Linked DNA regions of Diceros bicornis minor. The protein of the gene in region 1 interacts with the protein of each later gene in a biochemical or structural test. Links are inferred from orthologs where the notes say so. Each region holds a gene or a part of one and is shown on either strand. Other genes may lie near its edges. The genes, in order: PRPF40A and MECP2.

Region 1 (11,840 bases):
AATTGATGAACTCTTCAAATGAGCTGGCTTCAACTTTGACTGAACTCAGTATATGTCAGTCATCTCTTCTCTGTAGATGTGCAGAAGCCTAGAAACATCTCAATCATAAAAGAGGAACTAAATGGGCAGCTCAAAAAGTAAAAAAGCCCTTGACATTGCAAGATGCTAGCAATCTGGTCCTACCCACAAGCGGGACTTAATGTTAACTATTAACTAATAGATATCAAGGAATGACAGGCACCCAAGATCAAGTTCAAAAGCTTTTTAGACACTGAAGGAACTCCATAAAGTCTCATTACAATTTCTGTATGGCACTATTTACATTTATATAAAAGTACTGCCCTACATTTAATTTGATGATAATAGTCTTAGATTAAGTATTTTCTCCTAAAGGCAATTCCTTCTTATGTATTTACTGCAGGTTTGCCTCAAATAAAAAGTCATTTTATTATACCCTATATTAAGACTAGGGGAAAAGATGCAAAAAATTGTAAATAGGACTGTGTGAAATGTGATAAAATACGGAAAAATGTGACAGATGCAAAAGCCAATGTGCAAAAATGAAACAACTCAATGTTGTATATAATTAGTGTAATCAATTTGGCCTGCGAATAACCTTAAAGAGAAGTAACTATAATAGGTTTCACAAGTTTTATTAAACTCCCTATAAAATAGGCTTACAGTAGGGGATGGTTTGCAGGACAATTATAAAAGAAAAGCCCTAAGAACTCTGCAGTGTGATTTCTCCCAGGGGAGATGAGTTCCAAAACCAGCTGATATTATCAATCACACTTTCCTGGCTGGACCACCTCATTGGTAAAGAGGAACACTATGATAGCCTAATCCTATTAGCCATTAGGGTCAATTAACTCCTCAAATGCACTGATATTATGCTCATCATGAACCGTTTTTTTTTTTTCAACTACAAGTAGGGCTTCTCATGAAGATTTCTTTCAGAATGACAAAATGACAAGAGAATGGCAGCATCCCAGCTCCTGTGGAAGTTAGGTTTTTTAACACACATTTGGGCTTATATATTGTTTCTTGTTAGTCTACCGTTAGTCAACTCTCAAGGACTTTACCCTTGAATAAATTTTTTTTAAAAATGAGATTCTGGGCCTGCAGAAGTATTTCTCAAACTGTGGTACATTAGAATTACCTGGAAGATTCTTGGGACCCACCCTGGGCTGAAACAAAATCAACAGGTGCTTTTTAAAACAAAATCTAGGTAATTCTTACACATACCAAAATGAGAATCGCTGCTATAATCTGCTCTTACTGAGCTATGCCAACCTTGGATTAGGACTAAATTGCAATAAAAAAATTTGCAGTGTGCAATCTGTCTACTCTCACGGTAGAGCAGTTACTGTGCTCACATTATTTGTTTCTAAAACCCAACCTACTTTTAAAGAATTGAGGCAATTTGCAATAAAATTTAAACACGAATCACTGAAATATAAAGATAACAACATATATGTACAATAATAATTATGCCAAAAAACAAAGGGTAAAAAACAACACAATCAAACATCACATTAGCTATGAGGTTCCTAGTAAACCACATGAAATACAGTGAAATACAACAAAATCATTATCACTGATAGAAGGCTGCATTCTACTTTTTCTGTCCATAATGGACGACTTCAACAACAGTTTTTATTAAACATTCTGGATTGTTCTTTTCTGTGAAAACTTTTATATCAATTGTAAAAAGGTAAGATATAATTTAACAGGCATTTCTTGGGGAGTAAGCTAATGTAGCAATCTTTCTTGATATCTAAGTTAACAAAATCAGGGTTGATTTAGATGCAAGTCAAGGTTTGAGAGAACTGGCCTATCTTTAACCATCAGCTGTTGTAAGTGGACTATTCAGAGGCTAGTAGTCAATTCAAAACATTATTCAGTAAAGAGGTTAACTAGCATTTTTCTCCCCAACAGGAGAATTCCAGCTTAGGCCAATGAAGGGCAAGTGTTACCTCAGTCACCTCAAACCTTATAAGAGCTTAATCAACTCAATCACTGATTCTCTGAAACAGATTTTGAAGAATCTTATTCTCTTGCTAGAGAAGAGTATTCTCTATCACACGTTATAATGTATATTTGCTATAAATATAACTATGCTTACTTTAAAATTAATCCTCAGGAAACTGACTGAATAGTCCATTAGGTGATGCTGAATATATTCTCCATTTGACCAGTGGAGCATTAGTTCAAAATAAGGATCTTTGTTTTGCCATAACTACCGTTCAGTGGTTTTTTGCCATAAAGATACAGCGGTTTCTCCTCACTCCTGAGATTGTTCCCGAATCTTGAAAGTAAATTCATGTCACTAGCAAAGACTCAGATAATGATCTTCCTATTTGCTGTTATTGTATTAAGCATCTACCAAGTACACCTAAAAGCAATACCAGACTACTTAACTGGAAGTGGAAAAGGAAGCAGGGCAATGACAAAGCCCTATTATACGCCTTTTGATAACAAGCCATTCAAAAGCAGATAACAAATGCCACTCATTCTTTTCATAAATGTGAAATCTTGCCAACTTTTAAATAGCAAGTTAGAATTCATGCCTACTTCATAAGATTTTGTTTCTACTACATCAAGAGTTGACAGATCAATAAATGCTATGAAAAACCTCATAATCTTGGTTGTTTTTTAAGGATGAAACAGTATAACTACATACACTAATAAAATGAGTAAGTAAAAAGTACGTTTTCTCATGCAAGAAGTTGAGAAGAACGTAGACAAGTTTTCAAGGGATATCTAGCAAACTAATTTGTGTGCAATTTGAAGACAAACGTTTTCCTTTGTGCAAAATCAGTCAGACAATACTTTGTATCATCATGAGGGCATTAGCCTTGAAGAGGTAGTCTACACAGTTTAGTTAAGACTGGGGGAAGGGGTGACATGCAAGATAGGATCTCAAACTTTTTTTCCCCAATTTAGAGCAATCAATCAAATAATTATAGCAAATAGGAGTAAAATATGCCAGACAGGTAAAGTTCTGAACTCTTCTAAATCATTTTGGCGGAGAAATAAATACAAGATAAACAACCCTTCAATTTTTCACTAGAAACCTGTAAACTACAGCATGCTACAGTCTACAGAAAGTCTGACTCTTTCCTAGTCATCGTTAACCTGTGCAAGTATGCCTAATGCTTTTCAAATTTTTTTTTTACAAAAGAAGTTGCTTTTAAACAGATTTGAACTTAAATTTCTCCTAAGGTCTACTTAAGATGTTATCTTCGCCAAGTCTGTGAGAAAGTGTGTTTGTTTTTAATTCCTGGGAAGAGGCGTGGGGAGACTATTCCAGAAGGTAATTAGAAAACGTTAAATATTCTCTGGGTCTTAGTCACCCACAGTTGTATTCAAACTGTATTCCTAGTGTGTGTGGTATACCCACTCACACATCACATGCCATACATACATAAAAACAAAATCTAATAAAATTTACCACACACAGTAAGGTCTTTCAAGGTCTTTTCATTAGAAAGGTCTGCAAGATCAAGACTGAATCAAAAGCACAAGGGAATATATTAAGTATTTTATCTAAAATTTTGTAGAGTTTAAATACGATCTGGAAAAACAAAAGTGAGCTCAAAATCAAATCAAGTGACAATTAAGTCCATACCTAATAGCCCAGAGTCTACATCAGCTTCTTTCTTCAAATTCTCAGCATGTAATTCTGTAAATACAAAAAGGTGCTTGGGTAAAAAAGATGATTTTATAATTTGAAAAGTAGCTTAAAGGCTGGGAAGACACTGTAGAGTTGTGGAGAGTGCTTTGGAGTCAGCAACAACCAAGTTCAAATTCTGCTTCCATTTACCAGCTATGTGACCTCCAGTGAGCAAATAAGACATCTATATGAGTCAACTGCCAGGTATATAAAACAGGAATGTTTACTTCCTAATGTTGCTGTGAAGACATTTTTTCTTTTTTGCTGAGGAAGATTGGCCCTGAGCTAACATCTGTTGCCAATCTTTCTGTTTTTTTGCTTGAGAAAGAGTAAACCCTGAGCTAACATCTGTGCCAATCTTCCTCCACTTCATATGTGGGTCGCCACCATAGCACGGCTGACAAGTGGTGTAGGTCTGCACCTGGGATCTGAACCCCTGAATCTGGGCCACTGAAGTGGAACACGCCAAACTTAACCACTATGCCACCAGGCTGGCCCTTGTGAAGACATTTTATGTCATGCAAACTACAGCAGATACTAGGTTTTGAGTTCAGTTCCTTTCTCCATTCTCCAAAATAAGCAAGAATCCATGTCTTCTGCAATGGACTTCCACATACGAGGTTTTGTGACTTTATGATATAAAAGCAATCTCTCAGAGCAAAAGAGAAACTACCTATAAGATGAAACTCTTCTCAGAGGTGCAGTGAAAAAAAGAGGGGAGGGGACTGATAGGAATGAAACACTGGCACCCAAATATTTAACATTGACAGTTTACACCCAATACCCTTTTATGAAAAGGTACAACTTGCACATTAACTTGCCAATCTGACTTCTGCATGAAAACCAAGCATTACCAAGCTGTTAGAAGCCTTCTGCAGCCCACTAGCAGCTTGGAAACAATGAGGAAAAATAAAAACCAGAGCTAAACAGACTACTGAATAGTGAAGTAAGAGTAATACTTCAGTGACAACGCGTTGGGTGCTTTTCACACAACAAACTAAGGTAGTTTTTTTTGTTTGAATTTTTCTTTTTCAATAACTTGGCCAAAATCACATACGAGTGACAAATGAGATTTAAACTCATGTGTGATTCTTTCTACAGTAATATAAAATACCCAACCATACAATCCTTCTGTATAAGCTTTGGAAAACCTTTCAAGGCACATCTTTTCAGACACAGGAAAATAAAACTATTAATCAGAGAAAGAACAGACTACAGCTCCCACAATAGAGCTTTACCACTACACTAGGATGGGAACCCAAAATCGAGAGGGGCTAATTATTTTACCTATAAAAATAGAAACTTGGGCTGAATGGAAATCCTTGTCCTCCAGGAATTCTGTGTGTACATGGGAATCAGACGATAGCACATCTTTAATCATCTGTCCGTTAAAATCTTTGAACATGTATAGCCTATTTTAATTATCTACACACTTTTCACCATCTCTTTTTAATGATGGTTATTCTCCTTAATTTTGCCAGTATTTCATCTCAAGTGTTCGCCGACTTGAAGATACTGTTTCTTCAAGAGTACCCATTTAACTAAGACTTTCTTACAATAGGTCTCCTGATGATGTACCAGGGCCTTCCACCTTTAAGAAAAGAGAAAGCAAACGGGGAAGAGCCAAGAAAAGTGCTGATGAATACTTTAGGTGAAAGCGACTACCACCTCACCGGTCTTTGATGGGGAGGGGGGTGATGAAGGCGAGAGCCACGTCCAGGCTCAACTTTACTCTGGACAGCCTTTCAAGGCCGTAACTACAATACCTTTTACGATCAGGTAGGTGATGGCCAGGAGGAAGGCGAGGAGGATGGCGAACAGCAGCGAACACAGAATTGAGAGGACCTGGACCGGCCACCGCCGAGCCTGGGCTCGGCCGCCCGCCACCGCCGAGAAGATGCCATTGCGCTTATCGGGCAGCACCGGGGACCCATCCCCGTCCGGCGGGAGCAGCGAGCCCCTTCTAGGCTCCGACGACGCCCCGGCCGAGAACTCCGCCCGCAAGTCGCGGGCCACTTGGTCGCATCCCTCCTCCTCGTCGACCTGACCCTCACCCCAACCGTCCCCCTGAGAGAACGCGGAAAACGCCGGCCGAGCGACTGGGAAAGGAGTGCCCAGCCGGCGGCGCAGGGGAACCGAGGTCCTCCCGCTCTCTAAAAACGACATGGCGGGAAAGACGATACGGCGCGCGGAGGCCGAGCGTCTCCCATCCGCCCCGCCCCGCGCTCGCACAGCCAATCAACGGCCGGGGCCCCCCACGGCCTCCACCACCCTGCCCTGGCGCGCAGGGGTGCGCAAGGGTGCGCGGTAGGGCGGGGAAGGTGCCGTGAGGCCCGAAGAGAGACAGGGCGCCCCTGGGCCAGAGCTCGACCCCTTGGCAGTAGGAGGGAAGGAGAGCAGGAAAGCGCGCAGGGAGAGGCGAGCCGAGGCCCAAGACAGCCGAGTCTCCTCTCCCTGCAGTGCTTCGTCCCGGCCAAAGACCTTCGCCACCGCCGCGTCACCTCCAGGCAAGCGCGCGTCCCGCCAGCCCCAAAGCCGCATCTTCCCGACGCCCGGTCCTAGCGCCTGCCCGTGCACCTGTGATTCACATTCCCAAACCTATTTGCTTTCTCCCTTCTTCCCGGCTACGCTCGCACTCTTTTCCGCGTTCCCTACTTAACGGCAGCTCACCGCCCGGCGCTCTCGCCTCGCCTTAACTGCCCACCCCACTTTCCCCTTCGCCTTGTCCTCCCCACCCCTGCCACAACTTCCCTCCACGCAGCTCGACACGCCTCCTGCTCCCGCTCCGCCCCGGCGCGCGCTCTCCGGCTGGTGCGTACGGAGCTCGAACCCTCACCTCGCAACCCCTCCTCTCTCGCCCTCCCCGCCCCCTCCCCTTCGCCTCGAGCACCGCACGCGCGCATCCGGCCACCGCTAACGCTAGAAGCTGCTTATCCTACCCCCACCCCACCCGACCCTACCCCTGGCGGCCTCAGGTTTGTGGGTCGTACGTAACTTGGGCGGGGGGTGAAGGTGGCAGGCCCCACGGCCCCACCCCATACGGGGTGAGGCAGTCTAAGCTCGGGAAGCTGGGACACGGTTATCTTCCCTTCCCGGGGGGAAGTTGGTGGAGTTTTCCCGGCAGAGGACTCGGCGCAGAAACTTCCTCCGTCCCCTTCCCCCCCCCTCCATGCAGGCGACGCCGAGTGAGGCTGAGGCTGGGGGCGAATCGCCGCAGAGCTGCGTGTCGGCAGCTCACTCTGATTGGACAGCGGGGAAGCCTGTCAGCTTATTGGCCCCGCTGATCCCGCCCCGTAGCGCGGGGCAGCCTTTAACCTTTGGCCCCAGCGGGCGCCAGCCACTCAGATCGCTTCTTGTTGGTATGTGTAGCGGCAGTGGCCGCCGGCGGAGCAGTCTGAGCCCGACGATGAGGCCGGGGACGGGAGCCGAGCGTGGAGGCCTCATGGTGAGTGAAATGGAGAGCCATCCTCCCTCGCGGGGTCCCGGGGACGGGGAGCGGAGATTGTCCGGCTCAAGCCTCTGCTCCAGCTCTTGGGTCTCTGCTGACGGCTTCCTGAGGAGACGGCCCTCGGTAAGGGATCGGTGGGGCAGGGGGAAAGCGGCACAATGAAAAACGGAGTCAGAGAGACAGGAAGCTTTAACCAAAAGGAGAAGAAGATAAGAGTGGACGAAGGAAGAGCTCGCGATGGTGGGATATGTTCCGAGGGAGAGAAATGGAGGGCGGGGATGCACAAAGGGAAGGATGTGGGACCCTGGAAGTTCCTAGCGGGCTTGGCCTAGACAGATGCGCGGTGTAGGTGCTGGGCCCTGGGCGGGTTGAGCGTCTTGGAGAGGTAGGCCCGATTTAACAGGGAGGGGGAGGCGGAGACTTGATTCTGTAGACTTTAAGAGAGGCTGCCAAAATCTGTTTTCACCTGTAGTAGTGGTGTCTGCAGCGGAGGACAGCTGGGGGAATTGGCAGGGGATAATACCTGGTTTTAAGACCTGGAACAATGGACACACGAGTCAAGAAAGTAGTTGTCTTACAAAAGCGCATTGAAATGGGCAAATTAGTTGTTTGCATTTAGTGTCTTTGAATGACAGACCTCAATCTTTGAAAAAAATTTTTTTGGCAAAAGTAATTTTACCTGTGTTAGAGATTCTATTAGGAAATTGTGTTTATTTGTTAGGAGTGAAGTGTCTCTGGATACCCATACTGTTGTGTTTTATAATACCAACTGTCATCTGAGTTAATTTGGTAAATTCAGAGTTTTAAAGCTTAGTAAAAGTTTAGAAATAAGTTTAATATGTAGCGTTGTAAAATAACAGTAGGTGGCTATCTTCTGTCTGTGTGAAATAGGACAGAGTTGTGGTTTTTTACTGTAACAGTTTTTAAATTGGCTTTCACATACATTTCCTCCGAGCTTAGCAAGCAAGTTAGTAACTAAGTCAGTGTGCTTTAAAAATAAAAGCTACGATCTGCTGTCCACTAATGATTTTAATTTTTTCCATTTTGTTCTGGAATTTGGTCAGTTGCAAACCCATTATAAATACTAGTGTAGTGCAGTTTATTTAAGATGAGAAAGTATAAGCTAACCCAATAGTTGAATTACACAGCCTAATGTTATACCACTATACGTAACTGAATTATGGGAATCAGATTTTTGAGAAGCATTTATTGTTATTTGCTAATTTTTAAATTGTCCCTGTTTTTCAGATGGGGCACCCTGGCATGCATTATACCCCAATGGGAATGCACCCTATGGGTCAGAGAGCCAATATGCCTCCTGTACCTCATGGAATGATGCCGCAAATGATGCCCCCTATGGGAGGGCCGCCAATGGGACAAGTAAGAATGTTTTTGTTTTGTTTTGTATTTATTTGTTTATTTTTGCTTGTGGTATTATTGTGTCAAGATTTCAAAATCTGGGTCAATATTTGCAGCTGTTTAAGAATTAGTTTATGCCAGAATAACGTTTTCAAATAAGTCAAATGTTCAATCGTGACACTAACCAAATTTTGAATGTAATGAAAAGTCTTCTGTATAAAAGATTTACTTTCTACTGCAACAAAACTAAGAGGTTTTTTTTTTTTTTTAAGTTAACAGTGTACATCTAGGCTTTTTAGTTTAAAGACTTTCTTTCCCCCAAGTATGTCAATTGATGTTAATGTTCTAAGAGTAAATATTATCTGATAGGTCAACATAATTTATGTCGGTGGACCATGTAAATGCATAGAATCGGAAAATAGTAATTGTTTAGGCATTTGGCTTAGAATGAATTTTATTCCTGAAATAGCTTCCTCTTGTGTGTATGCGCGCGCGAGTGTGGTGGGGGTGGAGGTGGGGAGGTTCTATTCTAATTTGATTCTTCATAGCACAGTGCCAAATAAGTAGTTCATTTTCCACTTACACTATTTTGTTTGTTTTTTTAAATGCTTATTGCTTCTGCACTCCTGCTTTTGAGCTGTCCCTTCCATCTCCAGCATAAATTGTAAACGGACATTTTGTAGGAGTGATTTGGATCAAAAGGTTTTAATGCTGACTCAGTGAATTCAGTAGAACTGAGTTCCTAGAGAAGCATCCAAGAAAGGTAACAGGTTCAGTTACCATGAATAATTTTATATCCCCTGTTAGGGTCTATAATAAGAGTATGCTTTGGTGGCTGAGTTCTTTCCATTTGAGTATCTCAATAAATCATCAAAAATTTAGGCTAACAAAACATTTTGGAAAGCCAGTCAATTAGGTATGATCTTTCTGCTAATTAATACTGTTTACTTTGATAATTGTTTAAGCCTTGATGGTTTAAGTTATTGGTAAAATTGTAGTGGAGAAAGGAGCTTGCTCTGTCTCTCTCTCTACTTAACTTTAAGAGTAGACGGGCTTAATGTCAAGTGGTTTTCTTCCTTATAATATAGCCCTTAATTTTGTGTAAAAATCTTTATTTGAAGGCACCAGGCCCAAAAGATTCTGCCTGTAGCAGTTCTTTAAATAAAAGAACCATTTATTCTGTTACTCTAAAATATCACAAGTTTTACAACTCCCTAGGTGATGGAGAAACAACTCTGATTCCTCTTCTGTTTCTTTCCATCTCTAAGCAGCAAGGAGCTCTTCTTGTTTTCTTAGTAGAGCTGCTCTAACTAGATAATGAGCTTTAAAAAATATTTATTCTTTAAATGCTCTGGTTCTTATTTAAAATTAGTTTCTTTCCACAGAAAGATAAAATAAAACAATTTGCTACTGCCAGATGCTTCTCTCTTTTCTGGGGCCTTCTGTTTCCATTGGGCCAATCAAGGTAAGTTTTGCAAGGGATGACCTGCTTACCCTTGCTGTAATGGTGCTATTGCACTACCAAAACCAAGATACCAGCTAGTCATTTCTAGTAAAATGCAGATTTCATTTTTTTTTTTTTTTTTAAGTACTTTCATGTATCTCATTGACATAAGCTGGTCACAGTTTGCTTTATGGCCCTTTCTCCTTAGCAATATCAGTGACCATCTTCCTAGTAAGGTTACTTGCTACCTGGTATACATCCATTCAAATACTCAGAATTTTACCTTGTGGTTTTATTCTACTTTTTTTCTTAGGCCAGTATATGCCATGTGCCTCTAAGTGTACCTGACTTTTAGATGTTTAGAAGTCTGTCTCTCCCTTTTGGCTCCTGTTAGGATAATAAATGAATGTCTTCAGAGTTCAGCTGTGGGGGTCCCAAGAGAATCCTCCTTGTTTTTTTCTTAAAATTAGATTATTCCTTTTTTTTCTTCTTAACATCTAACTAGCAAATATGGGGCCTAAAACTAATTCTTATTTTAGCTTTAATAACAGACTGGGAGGGCATGGATAATTTAAATGCTCAAGTAATCCAGAAATCTAATTTAAAGTTCTGTAAACAACTACTTTAAAAATAAAGTTGATAATTAGTAAAATTGATCCTTTTTTCTGCATCATTTCTTCTGTCTACCCACTCTGGGAAGTATTAATGAACAGTAAGTGGTCAGAAGATGAGAAGAAGCAGGGTGCCTGTATATAGTTCACTGCAGTGACATAAAGTTGGTAGGGTTCTACCATCCAATTTTAAAAAGTTAATCACATTCTTTAGACTTTGGGACTGAAAGTTATGGAACATTCATGTATGTTGCCTAATTCACATTAAGATCTCATTCTGGGACCAGCTGAAGGCTAGAATTAGTGGCAGTCCTACTTGCTAAATGATTGTGGTCTTTGTAATGTTACTGAACATGATGAAATTCTAAAACTTCTTTGTAAAATAATATGCAGGCTGGGCAGGATAACAGTCTACAGAAGCCAGAGTTCATAATTTTTCAAATGCAGCAAGTTATTTAGATTAAAGAAGTAGTGTATTTGTTTTTATTTTATTTTATTTTTAATTCATGAGATAACCTAGAATGCCCTTTTTAGAATTCAGGCTGAATCTATTAGTAGTAATAAATATTTGGAAATTATCAAATGGAGCTTAATATTTCTTTCATGTTTATTTCAATAATCTGTCCTGTAGGTTAAAGTTGCCTCTTTATTACTGTACATTAACTTCATATGGGAAAGTTGTGCTTCTACTTTTACAGAATTATAGGCTCTTACAGCTGGAAGAGACCTGACAAGTTGTATAAACTTTAAATAATATGTGAGTTAAATAATGATTTATCACTGGTTAAAAAAACCATGTTAATAAAGTAATTTTCCTGCTTGGTGGCAATACTAAAAAATTTCCAGTAGACGTTTGCATTAAGATACAGTTATGTGTGAGGCCATCTTCTTTCTCCATATCTGTAGTAAATAATGTTTTGCCTTTAAAATGTTTTCATGTCTTAGTCTTTTGTTGTCTTTTCTACACAAAGGACATGCAAGTTCTGCCCTCTTTACCACAGATGATTTTGCCTTTACTTAAGCCCAAGAGAGTCCTCCTAGCTGGCTCTTTTTTTCTTTTTTCTTTAATTTTTCTCTTTTAATGAGAAGAGTGGAGTACAAGACTTAAGGTCCCTTTCAGCTCTAATAGCCTATGATTCAGTTCACATCATTTGTTAAGAGTAGGCGCTATGTATATGAGATTTTATGGGTTGATATGGAAATAAAGAAAAAAATTTCTTCTGCTATTGCCTCCCTAATTCTAATTATTCAGTACTTTTTTTTGTCTTTAATAAACTGATAAATGAATAATTGCTTTCTAGA
Region 2 (11,085 bases), on another chromosome or scaffold:
AGGAGTGCGGCAAACGCCATCAGCCGTGGGCTCTCCTGTTCTCTGACAGCTTTCAGGAGGCCATCCTTCTAGGGGGCCACACACCAGTTCCCATTTCTGAAAATGCATTACCACCGCCCACTAACATTGACCAGGAAGTCATTTACCCCAAACCAAAGCAAACAAAGCACCATGCTGAAGGCCGCTGGGCAACAATGGCAGCGGCAGGTGAAGAGCTCAGTCAAAGCGCTCTCAGGGCAGCTGACCTGCTTCAAGGTGAACTGAAGTTGCAGATCACCAGTTCCGGCTCTAATCTGACGCCCGCCCCCAGATCACGCTGTGGCTACCAAGTAACCCTACCCAAACTGACATTTCAGGGCTCAGGGAAGTGACTTTTTTTTATTATATGGCACAGTTTGGCACAGTTATGTCTTCAATCTTTGGGGTACTTTTATACTGTCCAAGAGTAGTACATCTTGTTTTTTTCCTTTTTTTTTTTAAAAACAGATGGCCAAACCAGGACATATACTAAAAAAAAAAAAAGGAAGGTTACTTACCTGAGCCCTAACATTCCAGCTACCATGGAATCCTGTTGGAGCTGGTCTACAGAAGCAAGATGTATTCTGGGGAGTCACATGTCACATCAAAGCAGGAACTGGTGAGTCTGTATTTTTATGGAGCCTAAAACAAAGAAAACCGTAAGTTGAAAGCCCCCGTTGTGCTGCACGACCTCTTTCCCAGGACTATGCGGACATTGTGAAGATAAACTACAGACAAAGTACTAGGCTATTTCCTGGCTTACCTAACTAGAAACAAAGGACACACTGCAAATGACTGGCACATAACACACAGGGCTAAAATAAAGGAAAGATTCATGCGGGTTAGAATCAGCACTATCACAGGTCTTGTCACCTCTGAGGGACACTGTGACACCATAAAGCATACCGTTAGTGGTGATCTCTGGTAAGCACTTCTTGCACTGTCATACAGAAATACGCAGGGAGATAATACATGTTCAAGAGAACATGCAACATCAAAATGTCATTCCAAAAAGAACACGTGAAATCCAGAGGCAAAGCCTCCCTTCTTTTTCAAGCAGCTGAAGTTGCAACGAGCTGCTGTAACATCACGGAAAGGGGCTTTAACCCTGCGAGAAAAAAAGCAGCACCAATGGAAACCAAGTGCTCTGGGAGAGTCAAAGCCATCCTCCAAAACCTGCAAGTCTGTTTCAGAGCCTCTCAGAGCAGTAAATTGCAATGTTCAACAAACTGAGTTATTAGTTTGATAGTTTCTCTTTTGCTTTTGAACACGTTCAAAGAAGGACTTTTGTCATTACATTTTTCATCGTTAAGATAACCATAGGTTCCTTGTTAAAATCTAAACTGTCCCATATTAGCTAATCTCTGATACCTTGCTGGCCCAAGAGTAGCACTTTTATCTTTAGACTAAAAAAAGCCTTAAGTGTACAACTTAGAGGCCATTCACACAATTACTCATGTACTCAAACCCAGAGGAAGGGCAACACCAACCAAGTCTTTTATGGCTCGTCTATAACTACCAGGATGATACCTAGAATTATCTATTGAGGTGCAGTGAGGCCTTCTAATTCCCTTAAACAGTCGAGTCATAGAATGCTGTGAAACCCCAGAAGTCAAGGTAACAGTATTACTCAGTTAGCTATATAATAAAAATCAAACTGGTATCCTGGCTGGGAGGCTCTGGAAAAGCCACAACTTCTCACAGCCACATTTTTTTTTTTTTTACTTGTAAACTGAGGGAGCTGGACCAAGGTTCCTTCCAGTTCTGAAAGTTTAAGATCTTTGATTAATTCAAGATTCATGGGGGGAAAAAAGAGCCAGCAAATGAGAGCAGTTAGGTGAAAACCCAAGAAAGCAGTCATTTGCAGGTCCATATAGAGAACGCCCTCAGCTCTTAGGCAAGGAAGACAAGTGAACCCTTCCTAAGGCTTGCTCCCAAGAGTACAGACTTCTGCAGTAACTGCAAAACAGCTCTGGTGAGGACACATTCCCATGCCAGCATACCCAACAGAAGTGTGCCCTGAAGAAGTTACAAAGGCCAAGGCTTTATTCTCTTAACAGAACGACCACGGCCCCCCCTTGACATGGGAGTGGGGCTGCCCTGCCCACCTCCAAATCCCCATTCCCACTCAGTTCCCCCTCACACCATACCTACCATCAAAGTGGTGGAACCAAGTATTTAAGCAATAGCATGCAAATCAAGGTTTCAATAGGAAAAAGTTTCTTGCAAGAGAAAGGCAGAAGAGAGCAGGTAAAGGCAGAAGAGCACAACTTGTGTGTAACTGAGCCCAAGGAAGAGGAACCTGCTTACATCTGTCCTACCCGAAATGAGTTGAAGGTACAGTGGTGACAATGGCAGTTGGACTGGAGAAGGCTGGTACAGAAGCACCGAAGATAAGCTCCTTCCGCCGGAGTGGCAATAATGTTCTACCCAAGAAAGAAGGTTGTGTCTGCCGGCCACACGAAGCTGGTCTGCACGCATGTCACCACTGCAGAGGCAGTGAAAACAAGCAGGTGTCCTGCCACACTCCCTGGAACTTGTTGCCAGTCTAGGACTATGTTTTTACCCCATGTGCTTAAAACACTAGTTACTACAAATGTCAAACATTTTCTACAATTCTCTCCTCATAGATAACTCAGGCAGCCTGGCGACAAACTGCTCCTAGCTAATTAAAAGATTTCCACTGATATTCACCTTTCTAAAAGATTATGGGTTCCAAGACACATCATTTATCATGCAAACAGTCCCAGGCATTAGTGGTGGAAACTATTTCACCTCTGCTCTTCTTTATTTTGGGTTCAAGAAGTGAGCTTCTCATTCCATTTCCACATAGGGGAAGGAGTATTCCAGTGGGGGCAACATCATATTGGACTCATCTAGCCAGTTTTTCTGTCAAACTCCACAGCTTGCCTCCTCACCCCACTAGATTCGGCCACTCACAGGCAGGGCAGGCGGGGAAACAATGACTCTGGCTGGAAATTGCAAATAGAATGCAAAATTGTATTCTAACCCTCCCAATACACAAACAGCACAAAAGTCAGAGAAAGGTTTGACTGCGTCATGCTTTATCAGGTGAAACAAAGACCTGGTACTCTAGGTTTAAAGCATTCCAGGCAAATTTGTAACAACAAGAAAAAGACAGGGTGACAGGCCAGTACCAGCAAGAAAGTGTAGAAGGTTTCTTCGAGCTATTAGGACACACACTCTACATGCCACCAGGCACCTTGCAGAGAACTATATTCTGGAAGCTGTGCTGTTTAAAGGGCTAAGGGTACGACCAACAGCTAAATGGAGGGGCACCCGAGGAGGCAAACGCATTGCCAATGAAGCATAACAAAGCAGAGCCCTCGTCCTGTCATGTCTCAGGTTGAGAGGTACAAACCTTGGAACCTTCGTCAAGCGAGGCTTGTGTGTCTTGTGTGTGGACAAGAATGAACCTCACCGATCTGCCACCTAGCTGACATGCCACGATAGGGTGATCTGTGGCGACTTATTTAATCAACTGTATGTCTACCAGATTGATTGTGCCCTTTAAGGTTCTGACATGTCCGGATAAGAAAATAAAAGTGTTTCATAGGCTTCCTGACTGAGATTTGAAGTAGAAGTCCTAAAAAGCCCATAAATAAGCCTATTTCCCTATATCTCTGATAGAGATTTCCAAAAGACCTAAAAAATCCAGACCCTGGTTTTTTGTTTTTTGGGCTTTTTTTGGTAAGGATCCAGCATACTTCAAAAGACCCAAGAGGTCAGCTTAATCTCGTTGTTAACTGAAATCACTGAGATCCAGATAAAAATTCCAGCCATGAAACCCAAATTTATCCTCTAGAGTAATAATTGCCTATTAACAGTGAGTTTTACTACCAAGGCCCAAATATGCTTCATATTTCTAGTATAACAAAATACCTAAAACTTGTGAGAGACCTACAAATTCTAAGCCACTTAGCATCACACGCTGGTAGGTTTGGTTCCACGATCACAACCACCCCCTGAATTCCATCCTACCATCTATTTGGGGTACTGATCCTGCACAGGAGAGGCACAACATGTGAATGGTTCTGCAGAGCCCATTCCTGTTCCTGGAAAAATAACCAGAAGCACACATCTGCCTGACCATGAGTCAGGAATATCAATTTTGTGGTGGAGCCCATTTCTGCTGTAACCAATCCACACCAAGCGACCGCCACAGAGGTATTCCAGAGCAAGCTTTTCCCCCCTCGGGTCCACACTTAGCAATGTCATAAACGGTCGGTCGGTCTCCTCTGTGAGAGCAATCTTTTTAGACTCTTCACAATGACCTTAAGTCTTCAGTGCAAAACCACACAAACACTGGCACGCCACATAAAAGTCACCTGAGTTTCAGTTTGGGTGATTCAGTCATAACCAAACTAAAAAGAAAACAAACTTTCAGGGACAATTGACAGGAACCACAGCGATGCGATGAACTTGCCTCATCTGGTACTGGTGATCTTGAGCAGGGCGCGCTCCAGGTCTATGGGAGCCCGTTACATACTATGTCCCACTCCACTTATGTAACTGGAAGATCGCTGGTGAAGGGGGGGAGGATGGGAAGGCGCTCATATTCTGAGGCCACAGCACCCCCAAAGACCCTGGGGGCATGCTCCCACCGAAGAGCCTCAGGTGCTGCCGGACACACATTGCCCTACCCACGGCTCCTAAAGGGAACTATAACCGCCTCTTTATGACGAGTTGTGGGACCAGGAACACACTGTCTAGTCCCTTTTGTGGGTGGACGATAATTGCCACCTACTTGTTCTTGCTAGATGGGAAAAGAGATGGTGGACCGACTCGCTCGCAGTGGGGGCAGAAAGTCATGGAATAGGCGAGAAGGAGGGGGAGGCAAAGCCTGGAGATGGGGGTGAGAGCACAGGAGCCCTTGTGGCGCACTCTCCCGAAGGGAGGCGGACTGCGCACGCGCGCCGGTGGGGGGGCCGAGTAACGGGAGAGGGGGCGCGCGAGGGAGGGAGAGGGGAGAGCGCGATCCAGGGAGAGGCCGGGGCCGCGGGCGCGCGACGGCGCCGCGGGCCCGAAGCCCCGCGAAGGGCACGACGCGCGCGCAGCCCCGACAGGCGAAGCCCGGGCAACAGGGGCGCCTGCCGGGCAAGGGGCCGGGATGCGCGCCGAAGGCGGGCGGAAGGAAGGGGGCCGCCAGGCGACGGCGGCCTTGGGAGGCCGCGCCGACGACGGTCACCCGCAAGTGCGGGTGACGGGCCGAGGGGGGAGCCGTCACCGGCGGCGGCGGGAGGGGGAGGGTAGAGAGGAGGGACGCCATCCGCAAGCCTTGTCGCCCGACCCCGCGGGCCCCTCCCGCGCCACGTCCCGCCCCTACCCCCCGCCCCCCGGCAAGGGTCCCCACCCGCGGCCGCGGCGGTCCCACTCACAGTCTCTCCTCCTCGCCTCCTCCTCCTCCTCCGCTCGGCGCGGCAGCGGCGGCGGCGGCCATTTTCCGGACGGCTTTTACCACAGCCCTCTCTCCGAGAGGAGGGAGCGCGCGCGCCGCCGATGCCGGGATCCCGCACGGCCGACGTCGCGCCCCGCCCTCCCAGCCGGCCTGCGCGCTGCTGCACCTGCGTGCCCGCGTCCCGCCCCCGGCGCCGCCGCGAGCCCGCTCGCCATTGGGTGCGGCGGCTGGGGCAGGGCGGGGTCTCGGCGGTGACGCCGCCAATTGGCGGGAGTTGGTGTCCATTCCGGCCAGGGAAAAGGGGGCGGACTCCCTGTCCAGCTGCCGATTGGCTGTCGTCAGCCGTCATTTGGGGGAAAAGAGGTGGCTTGGGCGCGGAGGGGCTGGTTTAGTGGGCGGAATTTGAATATTAAGGATTAATGGGCCCTTGCGGATGCTGGGGCGAGTAAAGGCCTAGGCTTCGGACGCCTGATTGCGCGGCCCTCCCGGGCCATTGACCCGCGCTGTCCACAAACGCCCAAAATACGCGGCAGTAAGCGGTTCACTGCACCTGCATTTTCTCAATGTCATCATCTTCAGTAGAAGCAGCAAAGTTGCCTGCCCCGGAGCCTGACGTTGTTCCAGCCGAGGGACCTTGGTTTAAGAGGCTTACCCATTGCATTCTTTCATCTGAGCCTGCCTTGTGCCACACTCTCATAGGGACAGGGAATAAACTGACAACAAATCACAGCCCTGGCCTTCGTGAACCTCTGGTGGGGGAAGACGGTGCATGCCAAGGCTGCACGAGTCCTGTCGTTGGTGGATCAGATGGTTTGGTGGAGGCGTGGAAAAGGGGCAGTGGGAGCACAGAGGAATCGCACTTAGCTCTGCCTCGAGGGAAAAGGGAAGACTTCCTAGAAGAGATGATTTGGGAGCTAAGATCCAGCAGTTCCGTTTTGGAAAAATATTTAAGAGTATGAGAAAAGTTTTAGCCAACGGGGTGATCAGGACAGGACTATTTGTCAAAGCCACCTGACTCTGATCCAGCCATCATCCAATTCATCTAATGCTCCTTGTGCTGCTTCTGTGCTTAACAAGGAACCTTCTGATTCTGATTTGGCTCCCCCAACCCATTCATTTATTAAATACCTCCTATGTGCCAGGCACTATTCCAGGCTCTGGATACTCAGTACTGAACAAGACAGTGAACTAAGATTCTTGTGGGGAAGATTCATACTAAACATACAAATAAGCATATAATATAATGTCATATAGTAATAAGGGCTTTGAGATAGATAAAGCTAGGGTGAAGGGGTTGCTATTTAGATATCCATAGACTTTTGCCCTCGTTTTATTTCCCCATATGGATCTCTGGGGAGAGAACATCCCTGGCAAGTTCAAAGGCCCTGAGGAGATACTATGCCTGGCATGTTGGGGACTAACAAGGGCTAGAGAGTGATAGGGTTTGCAGTTGGAGAGGCATCTGGAGCCACCATGGGAACTGGGAGCTTATTCTGAGATGAGATGCCCTTGGAGGATTTTAAAGTGGGAGCTGACATCATCAGATCTATATTGTAGGTGCAGTGTGGAGAGCTATCCATGGTGGGAGAAAACTAGGAGCAAGAGCCCAGTCAGGAGGCCCTGGCGACAGTCTTGGAGAGGTGATAGTGGCTTTAACTAGGGTGGTAGCAGTGGAGGTTCTGAGAAGTTGTGAGATTCAAGCAATGTTTTCAAAATCGATGCAGCTGGCCTGGTGGTGTAGTGGTTAAGTTTGCACGCTCTGCTTTGGTGGCCCGGGGTTTGCACGTTCGGATCCCAGGAGCAGACCTGTGCACCGCTTGTCAGGCCATGCTGTGGCAAGCGTCCCACATAAAATAGAGGAGGATGGGTATGGATGTTAGCTCAGGGCCAACCTCCCTCAGCAAAAAGAGGAGGATTGGCAACAGATGTTAGCTCAGGGCTAATCTTCCTCACCAAAAAAAAAAAAAAACACAAGCAGAGAGGATTGGATGTAGGGTATAGAGAAAGAGAAGAAACAAGGATGATTCCTGAGTTTTTGGCCTGAGAAACTGAGTGAAAGGGTGCCTTTCACCATGATGGGGGAAACTGTAGGAAAAGCACATTTTTGGAGGTAGAGATCAAGAATTCTGTTTTGGCTATGTTAAGCCTGGGGTGCCCATTAAATGTGCAAGTGGAGATGTTGAGTAGGCAATTGGGTCAACAAGCAGTCAACAGGCTGAACATCCAACTCAAGAAGCTATAAAAGGAACAACAGTGTAAACCTGAAGAAACTAGAAGGAAGAAAAATTAAAATGAGCATAAATTGATGAAACAGAAACAAATGATAGAGAGGACTGAGAACATCAAGAGCTGATTCTTTGAAAAGCTGAAAAGCCAACCCACTACCAAGCTAGATATAAGGAGATAAGAGACAAGCAAATTGCACTAGAAATGAAAAGGAGATGTAACCACAGATACAATAGATTATACACTAGATAATAGATAAAACAGATAAATTTTTAAAAGGTTATTATGAAGAACTGTATGTCAGTATATTGGAAAACATAAGCAAAATGAATAAATGTGCTTCCCAGACAAGCACAGCTTACCAAAACTGATTCTAGAAACAGAAAACCTGGACAGGCTCTCTATAACCACAAAGAAATTGACTATATATTTTAAAATCTACCCTCCCCCTCCCAAAAAAGTTCAGAGAGCTTTACAGATGAGTTCTGCCAAATCTTTAATGAGTGGGTAATTCCAGTGATAAACAGAAAAGAAAGAAATCTCTCCAAACTTATTTTATGAGACTAATGTAACTACTATAAGGAGCCAATGAAAGTATGACAGAAGACATAGAAATAGATGTAAAAATTCTAGACAAATAAACTGAATCCAGCAGTATGTAATGATATATCATAACCATGTTGAGTTTTCTCCTAAGAATGCAAAGATGGTTTAAAATTAGAAAATCAGGGGCCAGCCACCTGGCCTAGTGGTTAAGTTTGGCACGCTCTGCTTCAGCAGCCTGAGTTCAGTTCCCAGGGCAGACCTACACCATTCGTTGGTGGCCATGCTGTGGTAGCGACGCACATACAAAACAGAGGAAGATTGACACAGATGTTAGCTCAGGGGGAATCTTCCTCACCAAAAAAATAAAATAAAAAATTAGAAAATCAACCTTAACAGATTTAGGGAGAACAAATATATGATTATTTCATTAGATGCAGGAAAAGCATTTGATAAAATTCAACACCTACTTATAATCAACAACAACAACATCTTCGGGAACTATGAATAGAAGGGGCCTTCCTTAGTCCGATCAAAGGTAATATCTGTAAAACCCTTAGAGCAAACATCATACTTAATGGTGTTAAGTAGGAACAAAGCAAGAAACAGCACAAGAGCTAAGGTGCAACATCATCCGTGGGACATAACACCCAAGTGTCCTCTCCTCCCATTCTCTTTGACACCTCATCCTTGGAGTTTCACCATGAGGAGAGAGACCCATTAATCTCAAGTCTATTCCCTGGTTGTTAGGACACAGGCATATAGACCCAGCCAGTAATAAAAAGCTGGAAAAAGTAATGGGAAAAAATAAAGATTCAACTCAGTCTAGCTATAGAAATTCTAAAACAGCTGGGAATAAACTTAATAAGAAATGCCGAAATCCCTACATTAAAAAACAATAAAAATTTACTGGAAATCATAAAAGAAGACCTGAAAAAAAAATAGAAACTACCATGTTCCTGGAAAGGAAGAGTAGACATCATAAAGATGTCATCTCCTCATAAATTAATCTGGAAATTCTTTGCACTAGTCAAAATCCAGGAGTTTTTATAGACTGCAACAAGTTACTTTTGATCAGGAAGAGTAAGTGTACAAGACTAGAAGTCAAGACATTTTCAAAAGAGAAAACCAATGAAGAGAGTCTTGCTAAATTCCTTAGCTTGAATAAACGAGAGTTATTTTTTTTTGAGGAAGATCAGCCCTGAGCTAACATCTGCCAATCTTCCTCTTTTTTTTGCTGAGGAAGACTGGCCCTGGGCTAACATCCATGCCCATCTTCCTCTACTTTATATGGCACACCGCCACAGCATGGCTTGCCAAGCGGTGCATCAGTGCACGCCCAGGATCCGAACTGGCGAACCCCGGGCCGCCGCAGTGGAGCACGTGCATTTAACCACTTGTGCCACCGGGCCGGCCCCTGAATAAATGAGACTTAAATGATACAATTTCACTCTTGCCATTGAAAAGTAGAAAAATATAGAGTTTAAAGTATTTATGAATAGGGCCAGCCCCGTGGCTTAGCAGTTAAGTGCGCACGCTCCGCTGCTGGTGGCCAGGGTTCGGATCCCGGGCGCGCACCAATGCACCGCTTCTCTGGCCATGCTGAGGCCGCGTCCCACGTACAGCAACTAGAAGGATGTGCAACTATGACATACAACTATCTACTGGGGCTTTGGGGGAAAGATAAATAAAATTTAAAAAATAAAAAATAAAAATAAATAAAGTGACTAGCTTTAAAAAAAAAGTATTTATGAATAAATTTTTTTTTATTTTGGTGAGGAAGATTGGCCCTGAGCTAACATCTGTGCCCACGTTCCTCTATTTTTTGTATGTGGGATGGCACCACAGCATGGCTTGATGAACAGTGCATTGGTCCAAGCCAGGGATTTGAACCTGTGAACCCTGGGCTGCCAAACTGGAGCCCTCGAACTTAACCACTACGCCACTAGGTGGGCCCCTACTAGTAAAATTTAAACTGGGCCATTTTAAAAAAATGGAACTATAACATTTTTTAAATGGGTCTCCTTAAAAATGGGACTGTAGAAGATAAAATCCAGGAAAATATAGTGTAGAAAGCAATTGACAGGAAACCAACAACCAGAAGGATTTTATCGATATGGCAGACAGAGCACAAACTTCTACTCCATCTGTCTAAAATTCCCTTGAACTGATAGCAAATAGGTATTTTTTAGAAGAGCAAATCCAAAATGACAATGGAAAATGAGAAGGGTAAAACAGACGGTCCCAAATTTTAGAACTAACATCCCAGATGATGCCACAAAATAACTCAAATTTGTTTCAAACACTATGCTTCTCTGGCAACAATACATTAAAATTCAAACTTAGAAACAAAAGAATGGGCCAAAGTAAAACAAAGCAAAACCACTCTCCACTTGGAAGTTTAAAAACAAGCTTCAATATAAACTCTTCAGAAATGACCAACAGTGAGAGCCCTACATATTAAAACCTCTTAGGGGCCGGCCCCATGGCTTAGCGGTTAAGTGCGCGCGCTCCGCCACTGGCGACCCGGGTTCGGATCCCGGGCGCGCACCGACACACCGCTTCTCTGGCTATGCTGAGGCCGCGTCCCACATACAGAAACTAGAAGGATGTGCAACTATGACATACAACTATCTACTGGGGCTTTGGGGGAAAAATAAATAAATAAAAATTAAAAAAAAATTATTAAAACCTATGCTGTATGACCAAAGTGGTCATCTAGAAAAATTAATAACCTTAACTACATTTATTAGAAAATAGGTAAATAGATAAGAAATGAATTGATTCTGATCCATCATGCTCACACTCATGTACAAGTGCATACACCCACAAACACACAGAGTTTTCCTTCTTTACCCTTAGAAGCTCACTACAAGAAA

Evidence for each region.
Region 2: the proteins of PRPF40A (region 1) and MECP2 form a complex in vitro, tested with the Homo sapiens proteins (2 studies listed by BioGRID, with this or other methods). The link is inferred for Diceros bicornis minor from reciprocal best matches to the Homo sapiens genes PRPF40A and MECP2.

Annotation. Positions count from the first base shown.
Region 1 is NC_080749.1:36,488,115-36,499,954, reverse strand, and holds the start of PRPF40A (pre-mRNA-processing factor 40 homolog A), read left to right. Parts: upstream 1-6,561; 5' UTR 6,562-6,845; coding exon 6,846-7,247; intron 7,248-8,372; coding exon 8,373-8,504; intron 8,505-11,840. Other genes in the region: ARL6IP6 (ADP-ribosylation factor-like protein 6-interacting protein 6), read right to left, coding at 3,632-3,685, 5,443-5,842.
Region 2 is NC_080781.1:138,162,294-138,173,378, forward strand, and holds the start of MECP2 (methyl-CpG-binding protein 2), read right to left. Parts: upstream 5,545-11,085; 5' UTR 5,480-5,544; coding exon 5,418-5,479; intron 1-5,417. UniProt on the Homo sapiens protein: Chromosomal protein that binds to methylated DNA. It can bind specifically to a single methyl-CpG pair. It is not influenced by sequences flanking the methyl-CpGs.